Nothobranchius furzeri: one gene and its partner. The protein of the gene in region 2 purifies or fractionates together with the protein of the main gene of each other region. This does not show direct contact. Links are inferred from orthologs where the notes say so. Each region holds a gene or a part of one and is shown on either strand. Other genes may lie near its edges.

Region 1 (11,248 bases), on a different chromosome or scaffold from region 2:
ATCAGCAGCGGCGCACCGAAAAGCACTAAAACCGCTGCAGACAAAGAAGATCAAAAATAGCTTTTGTCCCTAGTCAGTACATATCTATGGTTGGTGCTATTGACATCCTGATTGTCCCCCAGGCTCTTCCATATCAGAGCTGTACAGTGCGGCGAAAAAAACTGTCTGTGCGTGTCTGTCTATGTTTAAACGTAGAACTGGTGCAACATCTTTGATTTACTATTTTCCCCAGAACTTTATTGAACAAAAGTAAGTTACGTGTAAGAAAAATGCTTTTTACTGGTGCATAGTGTGGTCATCTGGATGTAGTGGAGGAAAATACAGGAACCAGCAAAGGCAGAACCGGTCCAAAGTTTGGGATCAGAAGTGCAGCTACATGCAGATTGGCTAATGCTAAAGCTAACGGGTAGCAGTCTCACGATCAAGTGGCGCACAAAAAATATATGATGACGGTAAAACTAAGAAAGACTAAACTCTACAAGCGGATGAAAAGTCCCCACCATCCTGTTTATTCTGCATCCTGCAGCGTTACGGATCAGAGCCGCTGCAGATACGAGTCACATACATTACTGCTGGTGCAGGAAGTATGGCAAGCCGTTGTAGTATATAATTCACAAACGCTTCTATCTTTGAACATAATTTAAACTGGATTACTGCCAACCCGTACATAATAGACATGCCACCATTACATTGTCGTCGTCGTCTTCCTCCGCTTATCCGGGTCTGGGTTGCGGAGGCAGCATCCCAACTAGGGAGCTCTAGACCGTCCTCTCCCCGGCAGGACCCCAAGGCGTTCCCGGACCAGATTGGAGATGTAACCTCTCCAACGTGTCCTGGGTCGACCTGGGGGCCTCCTGCCGGCAGGACATGCTCGAAACACCTCCCCGGGGAGGCGTCCAGGAGGCATCTGCCCAAACCACCTCAACTGGCTCCTTTCAATCCGGAGGAGCAGCGGTTCTACTCCGAGTCCCTCCCGAATGTCCGAGCTCCTCACCCTATCTCTAACCCCCAAATTCCACTACCTCCGCTCCGCTCCGGTCCGCCCCCGCCTTCCGCAGCCGCTCGCTTCCGAACTCAATTTTACTGGTACCCGCTCTACAACGGCTCCGCTCCGGTGCGGAGACCTGAGGGGGACAAACAAGCATGCGCGGGATTTTCGAGATCTTGCGATACAGTCCGAGCAATAAACGCGGAAGTTAGATCCAAACACCCGTTGTGCGGGAGAAGCATCGGAAATGAGCTGTTTAATCTGCCCATCATTGTGTTGAGAGATCAGCAGTGTTTGGATCAACAAAGTGTGACTACTTTGATAGTGGCAACTGTATTTATGGCTTATTTTTGTGCATTTAAACTTCAGCCGCCATTGATAGTTGTTAAAAGTTGTTAAACCTGTGCATATGAAACAAAAAACGCCTTTTGTTTAGCGATTTATTGTGAAAAACGGAAGATGTGCTTGCTCCTTTTCCTGTTGGGCCGTTGTGATTTCTGTCCATTTACTGCGGAGGTGCTCCGGCGTCCGGCAAAAATAGGATCGATTCTATTTTTGCCGGACGTCGGAACAGAGGGCGCCGCACGGCGCCGCACTGCCGGAGCACGGCCGCAGTAGTGGAATTGCTCTGATTGACTAGAACGGGACCGATTTTGCTCCGGCGTCCGTGTCGGAGCGGAGCGCAGCGGAGCGGAGGTAGTGGAATTTGGGGGTAAGGCTGAGCCCAGCCACCCTACGGAGGAAACTCATTTCGGCCGCTTGTATCCACGATCTCGTTATTTCGGTCATTACCCAAAGCTCATGACCATAGGTGAGGATTGGGACGAAGATCGACCGGTAAATCGAGAGCCTGGCTTTCTGGCTCAGCTCCCTCTTCACCACGACAGATCGGCTCAGCGTCCGCATCACTGCAGACGCCGAACCAATCCACCTGTCGATCTCTCGATCCCTCCTACCCTCACTCGTGAACAAGACCCCGAGATACTTAAACTCCTCCACTTGAGGTAGGACCTCTCCCCCGACCCGGAGTTGGCAAGCCACCCTTTTCCGGTCGAGAACCATGGTCTCAGATTTGGAGGTGCTGATCCTCATCCCAGCCACTTCACACTCAGCCGTGAACCTACCCAGCAAGAGCTGAAAGTCAGAGCTGGATGAAGCTAGGAGGACCACATCATCCACAAAAAGCAGAGACAAGATTCTCCTGCCACCAAACTCGACACACTCCACACCACGGCTGCACCTAGAAATTCTGTCCATAAAGGTAATGAATAGAGCCGGTGACAAAGGGCAGCCCTGGCGGAGTCCAACCCTCACTGGGAACAGGTCCGACTTACTACCAGCTATGCGGACAAAACTCACGCTCTTCTGTTGTCTGTGATGAAGATGAACAGAACAACACCGCAGCCTCACTGATGAACTCCTTCCTCAGCTCACAGCCCGACCCCAGACATGCAGGTGTCTGGCTGGAACAGGTGAGCATCACAGTGGAGCAAACTGAGCTTGGCTTATTTTGATTTTAGGCACTTTTTCTGCTTCAAAGCACAAAGGTAACAGGCGAGAGCAAAAAACAAGGAATAAAAAGAGTAAATAAATGAAACATAACTAAGTAACAAATACCACTGATGTGTGCTTTATTTAAGGTCCATTTGCTCGTGTGTGATTTCCTTATTCCACATTCAGTGTTTTGGTAAAAATAAGTTTGTTTCCAAATGAAAAGCTTCAACAGTACACATCTGTAGATAAAGGAAAATGTACACATTTGTCTCACTTTTAAAATATATATATTGAGTTTGGCCCGCAACATCGTCCCAGTTTTTCATTTTGGCCCAGTGTGAATTTGAGTTTGACTCCACTGTCCTAGATGGTTACTGCCCTGCATGTTTTAGCTGTTATCCTGATTCAGTGCTTGGACCACCTCATCAGCACCTCAAGTTCTGCAGGAGCCGGCTGACTCAAACCAGCTACGTTGGTACAGGAAACCCCCTGGGACCGTCTAGTTGGATTAAAAAGCCCACAGTCATATAAGAATATTTTGCTACTTTTACAGCATCAGCAGCATCAGTCTCAAAGAAATATCAAATTGGTCCCACAGAAAGTGTGGCACCAAACCTAATTCAAGTGTTGCACTGAATGTGATTAGTTTTGTGATGACAGAACAAAGAGAAGAGTGAGAAAATGGAAGTACTGTGTGCTTTAGACCGGCTGATCCCCCAACCAGTTAAATTTTAGTAAAGTAAATATCAGCTCAGCAGACCATAAAACATTAGTTTTAATTCTCGTCAGCGATAGAGAAGAAGGGTGTTAGTTTTCGTTTGTTTTTCTCTATATCTTACCATGACAGGATGGTGGAGACTTCAAGGATCACTCCTCCTTCTTGACCTTCACATCTCCATCTACAGCCAGGATGGTGGAGATCTCTCCCTGCATGAAAGCCCAAGGCACAGTGGATCCAGCCAGGGGACAGCGCTCCCCACTTGGGCAGTACACCTCCCCACCCTGACCCTGGCTGCGGATGAATCCTCGAGTGCAGGGGAAACAGAACTTGTGGTGTGGGACAGACGGACACTGGACAAAGTGTGTATCTTCCAGACGCTCTCTACAGAGGGTGCAGCAGAGCAGGGCGCTCTGTGTGCTGCTCGTGCTCTCCCCGGTGTTGGTGTTACTACTAGGCCCCATTGTACTCAGACCCTGCCCCATGGCTGCCTGGGAGGCTGAGGTGGAGGCGGTGGAGGGGCTGCTGCTGGTGGAGTGCCCAGCTCCCGAGGAGTGGGCTGCAGACATGCTGGGGCTTTCTCGAGCCATCTGACTAGAGCTCAGGCTGTCTGCAACTCCCATGAGAGCAGAAATGGGTGAAGGCTGGCTGTGTAAACGTGGCAAGCTTTCTTGAGGAGCAGCCATGCCCGGAAGAGGTTCTGTGTAGGCAGCTCGAGGCCAGGGTTCCCTTGATGGATGATCTAGTCTCCCGTCATTCTCTCCATTCTCTGAGCCAGGAGAAGCCTTACGGCGTCTGCTTGTTCCCTTTGCTGGTCCTGGACGCCCAGGAGCTGCCAAAGACAGTACAGGGTCTGGCTGTGGCAGGACCTCTGGGATTGGGGGCTCTTTAAACATGCGTACACCGTCATTCAGCAGCTCAGACAGACCACGCCAGTCTCCTGTGGCTTGTCGTTTTTCGTACTCCACGTATCTTAGCCCAGAGTTCACTGCTTTGCCTGCATCTTTGGCTGAATCCCGGAACATCTGCCTAACAAGGTCTGAGATTCCAGAGAATATGATTCCAGAGCCAGCAGGATATTCCACAAACACCCTCAGCTCAAACTCTGGAGTTGTGCTGGCATCAAAAGCCAGGACGCGACCCAGCAGGTTATGGTCTTTCCTGAAACGCACGTTGAAGGGGATGGAGTTGCTGAGAGACACAAGAACATCCCGGACTGCCTTTGGGTGGTTTGGCCAACCTTCGACCCTGCTGCGGGCCACCTCATTCAGTTCTGCCATCAGTTCACTGTTCCTCCAAACTGCTGGATCTAATCCCACAAGAGCAGAGGTGCTGGCTCCCACGCTCAAAGATACTGCCTGCCTTCTGCCAGCATCACTCATTACAGGGCCAGCTGAAACTGCAATGGACGTGGCCCCGGCTCTGGAGCCCGGTAAGGGAGCTAAAAGCCCGTGAGGAGCTGCTACTAGCCCCTGAGCTATTAAAGCATGAGATATGGAGCCATGCAGACCGGGTATTGAACCAGCGACAGCCCGACGGGTGTTCGGGCTCTGACGGCTCCCCTCAGACAAGGCCACATCTTCAGCTCTGTGCAGACCATTGGGGAGCCGAGAGGACGCCCCATATTCCCCCCTCCCTCTGTCTACACGTTCACCATGCTGCCGACCCACCTCTACGGAACCGACTGAGCTGGGCTTGCCCTGCGGTGGACCCGGAGACCTGCCATCCAGAACACCGTGAGTGCTCTTCAGCTGCCGGGCGGTTTCAATAAGCAGCTCTATCCGGTCCGCGCCGTCGTAGTTGACACATCCCCGGCACACCGCTTCGCTGAACTCCCACAGCATGGCCCACGGCATCTTGGGCAGATCGCAGAGGTAGCACCACTGGCGTCTGGAGGAAGACTGCGAGGCGGAGGACATGTTGTTTACAGGCCCGGAGACCAAACTTTCTTTAGAGGCCTACACGTTACGGTTCGTGTTTCTCGGTTATTCTTCAACCCTCGGACAGTTCGCGTCACATGCCACGACTTATTCAACAGAAACAGAGTAAAAACAACACTGGAACGCGACAAAAGTGTAAACTAACGAGGTTTTCTGTATCTGTTTGTTCGTGTGGTCTGTGTGGGAGGAAGTAAAATGTTATAAGACACCGGAAACACCTACGTGACTCAAGCGCAAAGCCTTGTGGGTACTGGAGTTTAACAGGTACGCAGGCAGTTTTATCTCTCCCCATCTTTTTACTACCGTCATCACACACACACACACACACACACACACACACACACACACACACACACACACACACACACACACACACACACACACACACACACACACACACACACACACACACACACCAGATCCCAACTCGCCAAATGTGGGATAAAGGTAAAAAAATTAATGCAAGAAGATAAAGTAAAAAAAATAAATAAACAAATATTCATCCTTTTAGCTCTAATATCACTGTTAAATATACATTAAATTATTATTATTATTTGTATTATTATTATTATCATTATATTTGTATCATTATTATTATTATTATTATTTCTGCCACACTAATATCTGAATGTCATTCCGACTAGTGTGGTCGGATCATGATAAAGAAGGTTGAGTTTCTCAAAACTTTAAATATTCCAATCTCTGTGAAAGATTACTCGATAGTTTTTGATGCAGTTCCACCTGGTTTTATTAGACTATTCCAAAACAAAACCGAATTTACAGCTAACACCAAAAGAATAATGGAATTCACATGCTGGACAGAAAACGTAACAAAACATTTTTCAAACATAAAGTTTATTCACAATGATTCCTAAATGTCAGTTCTTTTGGGAGAATACAATAAATAGTAATAATTGGTCAGTATTGCTGATAAATATATGGTCATCAACAAAATTAAAGAAGTTCCTTTTAAAATAGTTAATCAAATATATCCTATAAAATATTTTATTAAAAAATATAGAAAATAGTTAGTTGACTCTTGTACAGCTTCTGAGACAATTCCACGCCTGTTCTATGATTGTGTATTTGTTAAATATTTTTGCTTTTGGACAGCATTTTAATTTCACTTTATTGACAAGAATATGAACTTACATTCAAGAGATATTATTTTCCTTAAAAATAAAAAATAAATCTTCTTAAATGTCTCCATGTAAACAAGCTTGCAGAAATGTCATATTGGAGACTGAATAAGCCTCTCTAAATAAATGTATCACTTATGTTGTGTGATGTCTGAAGTCTGTTACATTTCTGTCTGAGGTGTTTTTTGCATAGCAAAGCTGCCCTCCCTGTGGAGGGTAACTCTGAAGTGCCTTTTTTTCCTCCACCTGACTCAGTCCTCATATAAACCCTCTGATCTCTATTAAGGTAGTGCGACGGGTTGTGAATGACCACAGTCACCAATTCTTGTCATGTGTCTTGCCTATGTATGTATCTCTGATCTCAGAATTGTGTACTGAAACTCTAATTTCCCTCTGGGATTAATAAAGTATCTTTAAATTGAATTTGAAGCTTATTTATTTTCTGTCCCTCAGTAAGCAGCTATGATCAGCAGCAACAGAGGTGATGGTACCTGCTGGATCAGCGTCACAACCTGGTGGAACATTAAAACCAAGATGAATATCTGTCATATTTACTACCTAAAACTGATGTTTTTAAATACTCCAAGAAGTTAACTTCATCCTGCTGCTCCTCTGAAATGTTAAATACACTGAACAAAAATATAAATGCAACACTTTTGTTTTGGCTCCCATTTATCGTGAGGTGAGTTTTGTCAAAAAAAAAATCAACATCATAAAAATATAAAAAACTAAATCATATTTTGTGTGTTATGTCCAGAGGACTTCTTTTGGGAGTGAATTGTGACGGCTCTAGTCTCACAAATGAGCATAAAAACAGGATTTGTGTACTCTGTATATTTTTGAGTATTGTCAGATATTCAGTAAAACTCAAACTTAGGTCCCTCACACAAAAAAATGCATTTTAGCAAAATGTTTAATAAAAATTACATATTTCAAGTCAAAACTTTTTTTTTTACAGATTCTTTCCTTAGCTTCAGTCCTCACCAAAAATAGTAAAATATTTGAGTGTTTTGAAGATTTAACCCTTTAACACAATGTTTTGTAACAAAATAAATAAAATATTATAACCATGTGTGTTATAAATCAGTGCCCTGCTATTTATAGAAAATTTATGCCGTTTGGTGGAAAAAACAGGAACACAGTTGGAGTGAAATAAAAGAAAATAATTCATGGATATTTAGCTTTGTTTAAAAAATGTCTGAATGGGAGTCAATGGCACTAAAAATGTCTGAGGGACGTCCGTTTTTTGTCTATGCAATGTTTTAAATGGAGTAGGGGGTGAACATTTTATTTTTGATAAACTTCCCCAAGAACACACACCAGAGCAAAACATAAAAAGAATTGCATCAGCACAATCAAAGTTATTGAAAAAAAATGACTGCCTGTGCAAAAAAAAAAAAAAAAAAGCACAAGTGACCTCTAAGGGTTAAAGCACACGTGAACCGCAAAACCTGAGCTCTCATCACAAGTTTTACCGCCATGTTTTGATCTCCTGTCATGCATTTTTGCTGCTGCTGTCCTTTCTAGACTTGTGAGTTTGACACAAACTTTTCAATGGGCCAAGAGCCACCTTGCTGTAATTTTATAGATTTATTTGTTATGTGTGGTCATATAAAAAATTAAAAGTAATTCTAAATTTAGTTCTAAAATTCGAACTTCTTTGGTAAACAAGTGCCTGACACAACAAATACCTGGCTCCAAGTACATCTGTTGAGACCATCAGTTGAGACGTGCTGCGGGTTCCGGAGTTGGTAAGAATTTAAGAGAAAGCACGGCTCAATTTCAAGCTTTATTTGAAGCAGAACAGATTATTACAACAAACACAAGTGGGAAATGTCTGAAAAACTGTGTAGTCCACACGATTATTACGTGTGAGATGTTTAATGAAATTATTCCAACAAAAGTAAAAAGAACAGTATCGGCATCATGAGAAGGAAGCATCAGCTGGACACAGATTTGGTCTAAACACCACTTCCAGTTCTTCTGTTCTATTAGAACAGCATCCACACCAATTTTAGAAGTAGCACTGAATCACTGCTGGCTGTTCACCTAGATGACAACATCTATTTTCATGAGCGGATTTGTTTAACCTTAGTTGTGTTCTTGCTGTGTCGTATCTCTAATTCCATGCTGTAGTTCTTTTTTAAAACACAGAGCAGTTTGGTTACCTGTTTTCCCGCATAGCGGGAAAACAGGTAACCAAACTGCTCTGTGTTTTAAAAAAGAACTACAGCATGGGATTTGTTTAATTATTAAATCATGATATTAGGAACAACAGTCAATGATCAAGTACTCTGACTACTCTCATTTTAACTTGTATTTCAAAGCCAGATACAAGAGGAGAGGTTGTGACGTGAACATACAAAAATAATTGATATAAAAACAGAATTCATGAAAAAGGTTAAATATAAGAAACATTTTCTCACGCACATTATTTCTAGTTTTAGTGAATATACGATCAACAAAATGTGCCAACAGAACTGCAGGTTAAAGACTTCAAACTGAGAGGGCAGTGTTAGTTGGTGTGGTGTGCGGTTGAGAAACACAGCTTGAGTGTGTAAGGATAAGGCCCACCTAGAAGAGAGAGAAAACAGAGAAAGACAAAGCTTTCAATTACCAACCAATCATCTATTTCTATAGCACCTTCCACTACATTCACAGAAGCCTACGGTGTTTTCACTACCACAGTGCATGGTAAAAAGGTTATAAAAACAGCAGATATCATAAGAACAAATAATAAAAATAGAATAAAAGACCCAGGAAGTTAGCCAGGCTGCACAACGCCTCGCTCCAGCAGGACACGCAGTGGCATGAGCGCACCTCCTGGAAGCATACATCACTAAAGCAGACAGCTAACAAAATAAAGCTGAAAAAAATAAATAAATAAGTAAAAAAGTGCCGCCATTAACACTTCTTATTAGAATCAACTGAAGACCCAGCTTATCTTCCTCAGTGAGGAAAGATCTTTTTCAAAACCCTCGCTTTGGCGTCAGACTCTGGCTGCAAGTCTCATTTTTCTGTCTTTAAGCTAAACAGCTGAGCTGTCTGCTGGACATTCAGCCTTCTCATCAAATACGTAAAAAAAACACTAAACTACAGAGAAGTAACTATCTTTCACATCTCTCCAATATCTAAAGTTTTGTCTCACTGTTTACTTCGCTCTGTGACAGCTGATCACGTTAGGGTTGCAAGGATTAACCTGTTTGACTATTAACCACTGTGTGGACAGCTGCGGTTAACCCACTGTAAAGATGTCTCCAACACCGCAAAAAAAAAAAAAAAAAAAAAAGTGAACCAAAGCAAAAGTGAAACTGAAACGAACGCACCCAGCAGAACCAGCGTCAACAATCACCGGGACTTCTCTGTTTCCACTTAGGAAGCACTTCAAGTCTCCTGTGAGGGAATATTTTAGACTCCCAAAGCTGCTAAAAGAGAAATTCAGAACGATGTCTCATCCATCCACAGAGCTGGCAGAAAAATAAAAGTTGCTACACTCCCAATTTATCATCACTGATATCATCACGCAGACAAATGAGGTCCCAGTGAGTCAGATTACATTAGTGGCTGAACGAATTTAACAGCAATATTAGAACAATCCAGTGAACAACGGTTCATATTGTGCTGTTCTACGTTTCCCCGGTACCCGTCTACAACAAGCCTGTGCGGCAACCCATTTTTCATATTTTATCAACTACACCTCTCTGTAATTCTTGTTCTACATAGCAATAATATAATTTATCCTTGTTCAAATAATATTCTTATTGATGAAATCTGAAAAGATATAAACAAGTATGAATTACATTTAATAGGTAAAATTCATAACAACAACTGCACTAGTAGGAATCTAGCATCTTTATTCATTAAGGTGTCTCCATCCTTCAGTGCTAACCCTGACCAGTTAAACCTTCTTGTCTTTTTATTGAAACACAAAAACGGCTATTAAGCAAATATAATTAAAGGTGTGGTTCACTGAAAAATATTTTTTAATGATTATTTTTGATAATTACTCTGAGTGTTTCATGCAGGCTGAACATGAAAATAGTCTCCTGCTTTAGCTTCTGATAGAAACTAGATGGTGAAACTCTAGGATTAGAAAGGCCTGACAGATCTACGTCACCCTGTCACTTAACATTCATGTACTCACCCATCTTGACTCAGAATGGGGAAGGCTGTTGTTGGTTTAGCGTCCATGAAACAGCAGAGAACATCTCAACTAGTAGAAGCTAACTGTTAACATTAGCAACTCCACTTCACAGCAGAACTTCTCCAGGCTTGTGTTATTTGTGGAGATAATGAGTAGTAGAGAGCATTTTTCTGAGCAAAATCTCTGAAAAGTAATGACAGATAATTCAGGGGTTCTAAACCTTTATAGAATGTAATTATGCCTTTTATCAATAATTTACAGAATGTGTGTGTGATTTATATATATATATGTTAATACATATGCGAAATCAATTCATGTAAATAATCACGGTAATCCTGAAACTGATGATTTCTCACACTATAATCGTACCACCAAAATGTATAATCATTGCAACGCTACATCACGCCTGTGTTGTTTGCAGCTTTTTCTGTCCCTCAGCAACAAAATGCTATTGAACCCATCCTTATTGGTTGAATATGTGATTTTAAACCCAACCCAATACTCAACTGGGAGCCAGTGAAGTTGCACCAATACAGGAGTGACATGCTCCCTCTTCCTAGAACCAGACAAGGATCTCACCACAGAATTCTGGACCAGTTAAAGGTGAGCAATTGCACCCGAGCACACACCAGCATACACAGTCTTACAGTAATCAAGACGTAACAATAAATATAGAAGAGAATAGTCTACCTTTAAACACATTGGTATGTAAAAATACAATAAATGAATAACTCACTAGGGTTTTTAATTTGATGATGGTTCATCATAGCAAGGGCTTCCATGGCATCATTGATGGATTCCCACTCCAGCAGGCCAGATGAACTC
Region 2 (10,503 bases):
AGACTAAGACTAAAACTAAGATGCCCGCCAAAAACAACACTGGTCTCACCGCAACATGAAGACACAGGAGAGATCTGGAGCGGGTACGAGTGGGAGGAGCTAACTGTCTGCTCCTCGTTCTCGGTGATGACCTCAATGGTCTGACAAACGTAGGGAAGCTGCTCGCTGTTGATCACCTGCTCCTCAGCTGGAGGGTGGACCCCTTCCATGTGGACAAAGACAGAGGAAACTTAACTTTGATTAAGGCAAACCAAAACAGCGACAAATAAACATTTCCAAGTCCTACCTGACCCACTGTCAGCTACTGTAACCTCCACCAGTTCCTCTTTCAGGATTTCCTCTTTGATTAGGTCAGCAGGTCCAGACTGAGATGAAAACAGAGGAAGAATATTCAGACTGGCTGCAAGCTTTGGGCTTTGAAGGCTCACGTTCCACCAGAAATAAACAGACTAGTTACCAGAACCCCTCAGTAACAAACAGCTAGTTAGAGATCAGACTGCTTCTACAAGCCCTCACCTTCCCATCTGTTATGAGGACGACATTTAACAGGTCCTGTTCCAACTCTAGCTGCTCACTATTCTGTTGGGATGAAACCACCTTCAGTAGGGGTGTGTCAACTTGGGTAGTAGGGTTGGGCGATATGTTAACTTCTTCCAACCTTCAATTGTCAGTCTAATAAAATATGATGGATGATAGACAATGATAGACTGCTGGGCTTTGTGGTTTCTGTCAAAGCAGGGAAACTACCTTGTATAAAAAAAATCCCATCTGACCCTCCACGGGTGGTCCCATCCTTCCAAGATCAGGTCCTCTACCAGTGTTTCACAACCCTGGTGCTCAGGGACCACTGATCTGCTTGTTGTCCTTTGCTTCAGCACACCTGAGTTATATTACCTCCTCAGGAGGACATCAAGTGCTACAGATGCCTGTTAATCACTCATTTATTTAAGTCAGGTGTGAGGCAGCAGGGAAACATGGGTGCTTAAGAGGGCAACATGGAAAACATGCAGGGCAGTGTGCCCTGAGGGCCAGGGTTGGGAAACACAGCTTTACCAGAGGCTTGGAGCTTGAGGGTTCTGCAGTATCTTAGCTGTTCCTAGAGCTGCTCTTTTCTGGACTGAGATGTCTGATGTCTTTCCTGGGATCTGCTTTAGCCACTCCTCCAGTCTGGGAGTTACTGCCCCGAGGACCACAGGCACCACGGCTGTCAGACTACCCACCCTTTTTGGAGTCCTTACAGGGTGCTGGAGAGTGCTCCTTCAACTGCCTCATTCTGCTGAGGGACTTTAACGCTCATGTGGGCAACGACAGTTCGACCTGGATAGGTGTGGTTGTGAGGAACGACCCCCCTGATCTGAATCTGAACGCTGTTTTGTTACTGGACTTCTGTGCATGTCATGGACTGTCTAAGCAACACCATGTTCAAGGTGTCCATATGTGCTCTTGGCACCGGGATACCTTAGGCTACAGTTCAATGATCTACTTAGTTTGTTGTCATTTCATCTGATCTGCGGCCGCATGTCTTGAACACACGTGTGAAGGGAGGGGCGGAGCTGTCAACTGACCACGGAGTTGGTTTTGGTGGTGGGGGAGGATGCGGTTTGGGTGGTCGCGGAGGCAAAAACCCGGGTGTGGGAGCAGTTTGGTGAGACCATGGAGCAAGATTTCTGTATTGTAACAAGGAGATTCTGGTCCACCATCCAGCGTCTCAGGAAGTAAAAGCTCTCAAACCTAAAGTGCGCTATCAGCACTGTTTACAGTGATGACGGTGTACTGCTGACCTCTACTTGAGACGTTGTGGATTAGTGGGCGGAAAACTTATAAGACGTCCTCAATCCGACTGGCACGTCTTCCAGTGAGGAAGCAGAGTCTGGGAACTTTGGGTTGGACTCCTCTCTGGGGCCGAGGTCACTGAGGTGGTCAAAAAAATCCATTGTGGCAAGACCCCGGGGGTGGATGAGATACACCCAGAGATTCTTAAGGCTCTGGACGTTGTAGGGCTGTGTTAGTTGATGTGATTTACACAATTTACCGGTTGATCTACGTTCCTACCCTCACCTATGGTCACTAGCTTTGGGTAGTGACCGAAGGAAGGAGATCGCGGATACAAGTGGCCAAAATGAGTTTTCTCCACAGGGTGGCTGGGCTCTCCCTTAGAGATAGGGTGAGAAGCTCGGTCATCTGGGAGGGGCTCGGAGTAGACCTGCTGCTCCTCCACATCGAGAGGAGCCAGTTGAGGTGGCTCGGGCACCTGGTCAGGATGCCTCTTGGATGCCTCCCTGGTGAGGTTTTCCAGGCACAATTTTTGCCAACACTGATGCATAGGTTGACATTTAGACAAAAAATAATGCAAGCTGAATTTTTTTAATGTCGTTTTTTTCTATTAAGTGAAAACTAGAAAAAAAAATTATATATATATCACAAATAAATGAAAAACATGAACACACTTTCACTTTCGTTTTGGTTTGCGCAAGTCACACTGTTGTCCTGTTGCGGTGTTGGAAATGTCTACAGTAGGTTAAGTGCAGCGTTTCACACCATGGTTGATAGTCAGACAGGTTAATCTCTGCAATCCTATTCTCCATAAAGTCTTTTAGCAACGGGGAACCTAAGTCTCCTCCCTTTTTGGTCAGCTCACGGGCCCCCGAACAGGTCGATAAGTTAATTCTCGAACCAGCTTTGCCTTACTCCCTGAATCACATGTTGTACCTCAATTTAAAAAAAAAGTAATTTGTTTTGACTCTGACCATCATGTACTTTATTAGCTTGTTAAAATTTGTAATTAAAATGTCTACAAATCAGACGTGGCATATATGACGTCCTCTCCCCAAGCGTAGATGCTGCTTACAAAGGTTAGAGGTATTTGCCCTGATCTTTATCATGTTGTACAGCGCTTTGTGATTTATATCTGTGAAAGGCGCTATATAAATAAACTTTTACTTACTTACTTACTTACAACAAGGACAGATTTATAGTGATTTTCTCAACGTTTTATGCTTCTTTCAACCACGTCTGGTTTGATTACCTCAATTTAGTGAGACTAAGATTAAGAATAAAGTCCCATTAGTCATCAAGCACTGGTGAAATTTGCTCTCCACATTCGTCCCATTCCCATGGGGAGCGGTGAGTTGCAGACACATCCACACTCTGGAACCATTTGGTGGTTTAAACCCCAATCAAACCCCTTAAAGCTGAGTGTCAAGCTGGGAGGCATTGGGTCTAGGGTTGTCACGGTGTGAAAATTTAACCTCACGGTTATTGTGACCAAAATTATCATGGTTTTTGGTATTATCGCGGTACTTTTTAAAATGTGTTACATTTTCAGACGACTAAATAAACCCTGTATATCAGGAAAATATTGTCCTCAGTTTGTGTCTAAATTTTGCCTAAAATTTATTTTGTAATTATGTTGTTTATTTGTTTACATTTTTCCCCTTTAGTCTTTAAAATAGCAATATTTGCCCATAACTTCTTATTTTTTTGTCTGTTTGATGTCATCATTTAAAAAATATTAGATCAGATGATACTCAGTACTCAAGTAGCCTTCTAATCAGATACTTTTTTACCCTTACTTGAGTAATAAACACTATATCAGGAAAATATTGTCCTCGGTTTGTGTCTTTCCAGTGGGCTTTGCAGATTTGGGAAAATGTCATCAGGCAGTAATCATTGTTAAATTCACGCAGAGATTTGAAGCGTTGCTGCCTTTCACACACTTTTTCCTGCACATGCTACAAACAGGATAGCCGTCTTCTATCAGCTGTCCCTCGGCATTCTTCAAATATCCAAAAAATGCCCATACTTCCGACTTTGTCTTCTTTGAGGGATAATAAATGTCCTGAGAGCTGCCTTCTCCTCCTTTGACCATTATTTCAGCTATTTCAGCTTAGCTTCAAGGAAGTTTTGGCTGTAAACAAAGTGCACATGTGCCGCCGGCAAATTCAGCAGATAATACGGTGGCTGGTAAGGGTCACCGCGCCTACACCGCAGCCACGGTAATCCACCGAGATAACATATTTTTTAAAAAACAAGACGGTTATTATTATTGCCAACTTTTTTACCGGGGTTCACCACTACACCGGTTACAGTGACAACCCTAATTGGGTCCCCTTTTTTCAAATCCGGTCTGGTCTTTGGTATTATCTGACCATATTTGAACCCACAAAGTCCCAGTCCCAGGGTGGACACTCATACCACTAGTCCGTTACATCTTTTCACACAAAACCTAAAATAACCGTCGCCAGCATTAAAAAAAATCAGAGCTTTCTTGGCATCAAAATACGTCTTTAAAAATCGCGGACATCATATGTGAAATTCATGGCATTTGTCAAACTGGATCAGGAAATGACTTAACCTCTCAGAGTCATATTCGTTTTCTCTTTTTGCAGTTGGGGACCCATGGTCCGGCAGTAGATGGGCATGACTTAGGTTCCCTATGACTAACATGCCAGCAGACTTTAAAACAAGGTGTAGGTGAGACAGCAGAACCACACTGTCCAATCAGCATTCCTCATCCCAACATCCCCCACACACAGTTCACCCACCTCCTTATGTCTTCTAGACGTTCCCTCCTTGTCAGCCTTTTTCTTTCCTACATACACACCCAAGAGAAAAAGTCAGGTCTCAGGTCAAATCTACAGCAGGTGAGCAGAACAGAACCAGAACTCACCTTTCTTTAGGTTCCTCTCTGAAGACGAGAGCATCTTATAAACCCTAAAGGCGTTGGTACCCTTTTTGATGCTTTTATCCTTCACCTCCTCGATGTCTGGAAGGCTGTTCATGGCACAGCGGAAGTTGGCCTTCCATGTCTTTGGATCGGGTCGGTCTACACCTTGCTGATACTTACCTACAGCCCAATGAACCAGAGCACATGGTTCAGACTCAACAGGTCAAGAGTTTTTCTACAGTAACCCAGAGCTGCCCCTCCCACTTTTGTAAGCCAACTATTATTGCATAACTCTGAAGTGTCTTGGATTAGCAACAGCAGAAGAGAAGCAGTCACCCGTGTGTATGGCCCATCTCATGAAGAGTGGGGCATCTTTCTCCAGATCCCAGCCATGACGAGCCGCATGCATCCAGGGGATCTGAAAAATTCTCTTTTCCTGCAGATCAAGTGCTTTTGTTATCGTGTGAACCACAACACGTGAGTCTGAGCTCGTCTCCAGGTGGACTCTTACCTTGTTAACCCACTTTAGTCCTGGGATCTGACAGGAATTAATCTGCTCCTCCAGCCACGGTCGCATCCGCATCCTCTCCACGGGCATTTTCAGCTGTGGACACACAGGTGTACACGCTCAAGTCATGGTACACACACACAGCGTTTCCCCTACATAGGCTCAAGGGTGGCGCTGTGCCACGGCTCCAAATAATATGTGTGTATATACATATATATATATGTATGTGTGTATATATATGTATGTGTATCTATCTATCTATCTATCTATCTATCTATCTATATATATATATATATATGTATATATATATATGTATGTGTGTATATATTTGTATGTGTATCTATATATCTATATATATAGATATGTATATATATATGTATGTGTGTATATATATGTATGTGTATCTACATATCTATATATATATAATATATATGTGTAAATATATATACATATTTAAAATATATATAATACATATGTATTAGGGCTGCACAATATATCGAAAAATTATTGCCATCGGGATAACAGGACGTGCGATAGGCCAATCGCAAAGCACGACAAAAATGGCGATAAATGTTTTGTTCAAACATTCCCATCCGTGTCATACATCAGCTTTTTGTAAACCAGCTGTTTTTTACGTGGCAGTATTATTATGACCAACATGTGGCCAATCAGACGGGTCTGTTCACGTAAAACGCCAGCCCCCTACGTAGACCCTTAGGATGGAAATTAAACCCCGAACTGAGTTAGCGGTGCCGTTCCCTTGTTCGTCATGCTGGCTCAGAGCAACAAACGCACTTTGTGCTGAGGTTTCTGGAGTCAGCACTGCTTTCAAATGTGAACGTGAGTCCGCTCGGTGTCGTCAATCACTTTTATCGGGCTGACTCTGACACGTGCCGGTGAACCAACCCACCTTTGTGTCGCTAGTGTTCCACCGGGTGGTGATGTTAGCCCCAGGCTCCGGTTAGCTTCCAGCTAAAAGGCTACAGCACTCTCCTCCCAGTCCCACCCTGCTAAAGAGGGCCTGGAAAAGTTCCCCCACACATCAAAGTGATTTTTCATTTATGAGCTTTTATAATCTTGATAATCAGGATTAGGGCTGCACAATATATCGTAAATATATCGTTATCGCGATATCAGCATGCACAATATGCATATCGCAAAGAACAGATAAATATCGTAATGAATGGTCAGCTCAAATGTTTGCTACACATGAGGCATTCTGTCAATCAAATAGAGGTGTGATGTTTTTTTTAACAAATCAAATACAGCTCTTCATCCATTTGGCCCAATGGGTGGATTCTCATAGGTAAGATGTCCGCCCCCAAGGCGGACAGCACTTAATTTAGATGGTTAGCAAACACCTGAGTTAGCTTAGTTCTGCTCTTTCTGCTGATTCTGCTTTTCCTGGGATCCACTGATCGCCTTTTCTTGTTCATTTTTTCCCCTTTCCTCACATCTTTTGTTTTTCTCATTTTTATGATTTTCTTATTTCCTTGTTGTTGATTAATTTAGTTCCTGAGTTAAATTTTTATTTATCGCAAGTAATATCGTCATCACAATATTAATCATTGTTATCGCATATCGCAGGTTTTCCTAATATCGTGCAGCCCTAATCAGGATAGTTGATTTGCTGCTGCACCTAAACTGTCAGTCAGAAGCTCTGCTAGCCGGTTGTCTTAGAGGAGCTAGTTCAATTTGTTAGCTTGTTAAAAGAATCATAGTTGCAGTTTCATCATCTGAGCTGCTTTTTAAGATCTAGGTAAACTTGTTCAATTTGGGGTTAAAAACAAACGGTTTCACATATTTTCCATGTAGTTTTTTTTTGCCAGTTCCTCTTCTGAAAGGTAGACAAATGTTTTTCTCTTCCCCTCAGAAAATCTTAATATTCTCCTAGTTTGGCCCAGCACAGTTCACTTCCCAATTGCAGCAACAGCCTTGTATCATAACCACATAAGTGGAGAAAATGTTCAGTAGCAATGAGAGAATTTGCTGTTGCATTTAAGTGATGTTAACTATTATTTAACATTTAAACTTATTTTCTGTTTTTTATTTATTCAAAAAACCCTGGTAAGTAGGGATGCACCGATACCTCTTTTTTCCAAACCGATACGATACCGATACTTGGATCTGAGTACTCGCCGATGCCGATACTTCCACCACACAAAAAAAATGCAATGATTTGGAATACAGATTTTATTTTCTTCTCTGCTTTCAACAGGAAAAGACTGTGAGGTAGATAAAAAGTAAAATATATGAATGGAAATCATCACAAAACTAAAATATTAGGTGAACAGAAATGACAAGTTACAGTGAAGCCATTTTCAAGCAACTGCATTGGTATTGGTTCCTGGTATCGGCAAACTTTTACCGATACCGATACTGGTATTGGTATTGGCACGGTATCGGTGCATCCCTACAGGTAAGGGATGTTTTTCTGTATTTGGAGCATCAGAAAAAGTTTTATGGTGGAGGTGATGTTTTAAAGTCACTGAGAAACTGCATGCATGCAGTTTGTTGTTTTGCTGCTAATACAGTAGCAGGTGCAGCTGCATATTTTTGCAATAAAAATGTTATGTTGTAATGGAATTCATGCATTAGTTTTTGTTAGCTTTGAACCCAGAGCAGACATCACACGCCAGACGACATCAACACTGCATACCGTAAATCCTCCAATACAGGCCGGTATTCAATTAAAGGCCGGGTCTCCAATTGTGGCCGGTGTCAAAGCCAGTTGAGGTAAATATTGGCCGGTCTCTTATTGTGGCCGGGTGGAATGTAGTAACAAGCAAGTATGAGCGTCCCAGCGGCAGGGTTATAGTCCCCAAATGAACCAGCAGGAGGCAGTAGAGGTTCAAGCAGACCTTTATTAGGCTTTTTCTTCAACGCTTTGTAACGCTACAGACACAATCCTCTATCACGCTCCTACCACACAGAGTCACGGTGTCAGTTAACCATGCTAATTCAACCCACTCCACAGAACACACATCAACTTCCCTGTGGCTTACATAACACTCACACAACACGCAAATCAGCACATAGGAACTAGCAGAACGATAGGAAACACATATAACACAATACCCAGAAAGCACCTGGCTTACAACCCCAGCCAGGTCATTACACTGTCAAGTTCAAAGAGAACGTGCTGATTATGCTGCAGAACACTCTGGAGAGCAGCAGTAGGGGGTGTATGAACTAGTCAACTTCACTATAGTGACTTTTTATGCCTGTCGTCGACTAGTCGCTGTCACGTGATAATGACCGGCAAGATGCAGCCCTCGGAAAAGACAGCAGTCTGCTGTCAGCAGGTGACAAGCTCCTGCGCTCGGGGGTGGGGGGTGGGGGCAACGCGCTGTGCCAGACCGTAGGTACTGACACGCGATCGTTCATGTTGGTTCATTTCCTTTAATGTTTTCTGTCTTTTATTTGCGCCTGATGCGTTTGCTGCATGCTGTGGAGCGGGGCGCTGCACGCATCACCTTGTCCTCCGACGCACTCATCACTGATACGGCCGACAAACAGCGAGCACTCCGCTGTTTTTGCGGTCAGTAGATCTTTTAGAACTGCAGTTCAAAGGTAACTCATGAGGTGAATATATATGAACCCAGGTAGCAGTTTTTCTTTAGGATTGAGAGGAGATGCAGGAAGATAATAAACAGGCAGGACAGAAAAATAGTCAAATAAAAACAAGTTAGTTTTTGTACCTGCTGTTGCAACAAACAGCCACCATTGAAGGTCATCAGAAGTGAGGAACAGAAAATGAAATAATTATTTTAATGTTTAGAGCAGCAGGAACTCCGAGAGGCTGCAGGCGCATCAGTGAGATTGCGGCCGCTGCGCAGGGGGAGGGGGGAGAGGGCTAAAGCAGGGGGAGGGGGGAGAGGGCTAAAGCAGGGGGAGATGGCTGAAGCAGAAACTACTGTTGTTAAAAGAAATGTGTTTAACTTTGAAAATGTGGGCGCAATTTTAATTGTCAAAAACTCCAAGGAACATTAGTTCATTTTGCTCAAATTGAAATAGAGGCCTGCCTCTAATACTGGCCCTCCTTCCAATAAAGGCCTGGAGCTTGATGAGCTTGAGTCAAATAGAGGCCCGGGCCTGTATTAGAGGATTTACGGTACTTTAGTATTTGTTCATTTATCGCGAGTAATATCGCAATATTAAGCACTGTTGTCGAATATCGCAGGTTTTCCTAATATCGTGCAGCCCTAATATATATATATATAATATATACATATACATACACAATGTTCAGCATAAATGAGTACACCCCTTTAAAAAGTACTAATTTAATCAGGAGCTCGATGAACAAAAGAACAGTCTCCAGAATGTTCTCCAGGCTGGTTTTATGGAACACGTGTTTAACTCCATAACATGAAATTAAGTTAAATAAAATAAGTTAGATACAAAATCTTCAGTTTTACTAAAACTGGTTGAAGCAGAAATGAATCCACCCCACAAAGACAAAAGGTGGGGAGAGAGGGGGGAAGGGGGGGTCCACAAAAATAAACAATAATGAACAAGAGTCTGCTTCTAGACCTGCAGAAAAAGAGAAGAAAAAAAGCAAAAGAACAAAAAAAAGGAACACAACAACAATACAAGATCAAGCCATCACTGTGTAAACTTGATGAAGAAATATATAATCAACATTGTTTAACTGAACAATCACACGATAATAAATCACAGTGCATTAAGTGCCCACCATAGTCTTAAGACCTGTGTTTAATGTGCCCAAGCCCATACTTTTGAGAGCACCATGTGAGCACCTGTGTGTGTACACGCGCTTGTTTATGTAAGGTTTCTCTATAGGAGCGTCCAATAGAGAGTGTGAGGGACCACAGATCCGCCCCCCAAAGATGCGTAGGAGACGGGGGGAGCTCCAAGTCCCAGAGATCCAGGCGCTGCCCCAGAACACAGGAACCCCAAGGAGACTGCAACCAGAAAGGCCCAACGCCCCCCTCGAGAGGCACAGAGGATCGCCCTGGGGGGCCACAACCAGCAGCCGGCAGAGTCCCGGGAGATATCAGCGGCAAGCCAACAGGCCCGCCCGCAGCCTCCCACCCCCTAGCCGGCCGAGCCCGGGACCCAGCGACCCGGGACCCAGGGGCCACCACCCCCGCCGGGGACCCAGCAGAGCCCAGGGACCCAGACACCACCAGGCAGCCACCTGGATTGATCAGGCAGATGCCAAAAATCTTAAACCCCCTGACCCGGGAGCCACAAACACTCAGGCAGACCAAGGCACCACACCCCACACCAGGTGTGGCAGGGGGAGGGGGGACGAAGATCTATATCATCAAAAGAAGTTTCAGGAGAGGGGAGGAGTCAAAGG

Evidence for each region. The genes of interacting proteins can lie anywhere in the genome.
Region 1: the proteins of irf2b (region 2) and interferon regulatory factor 2-binding protein 1 purify together in Homo sapiens (affinity purification with mass spectrometry; 4 studies listed by BioGRID and IntAct, counting the BioPlex papers as one, with this or other methods). This does not show direct contact. The link is inferred for Nothobranchius furzeri from reciprocal best matches to the Homo sapiens genes IRF2 and IRF2BP1.

Annotation. Positions count from the first base shown.
Region 1 is NC_091750.1:43,015,759-43,027,006, reverse strand, and holds the start of interferon regulatory factor 2-binding protein 1, read right to left. Parts: upstream 5,307-11,248; 5' UTR 5,120-5,306; coding exon 3,350-5,119; 3' UTR 3,322-3,349; intron 1-3,321. Other genes in the region: heterogeneous nuclear ribonucleoprotein L, read right to left, coding at 8,795-8,853, 11,160-11,248. UniProt on the Homo sapiens protein: Acts as a transcriptional corepressor in a IRF2-dependent manner; this repression is not mediated by histone deacetylase activities. May act as an E3 ligase towards JDP2, enhancing its polyubiquitination. Represses ATF2-dependent transcriptional activation.
Region 2 is NC_091741.1:103,990,686-104,001,188, forward strand, and holds part of irf2b (interferon regulatory factor 2), read right to left. Parts: intron 5,271-10,503; 5' UTR 5,265-5,270; coding exon 5,178-5,264; intron 5,103-5,177; coding exon 5,003-5,102; intron 4,847-5,002; coding exon 4,670-4,846; intron 4,592-4,669; coding exon 4,545-4,591; intron 366-4,544; coding exon 287-365; intron 203-286; coding exon 50-202; intron 1-49. UniProt on the Homo sapiens protein: Specifically binds to the upstream regulatory region of type I IFN and IFN-inducible MHC class I genes (the interferon consensus sequence (ICS)) and represses those genes. Also acts as an activator for several genes including H4 and IL7.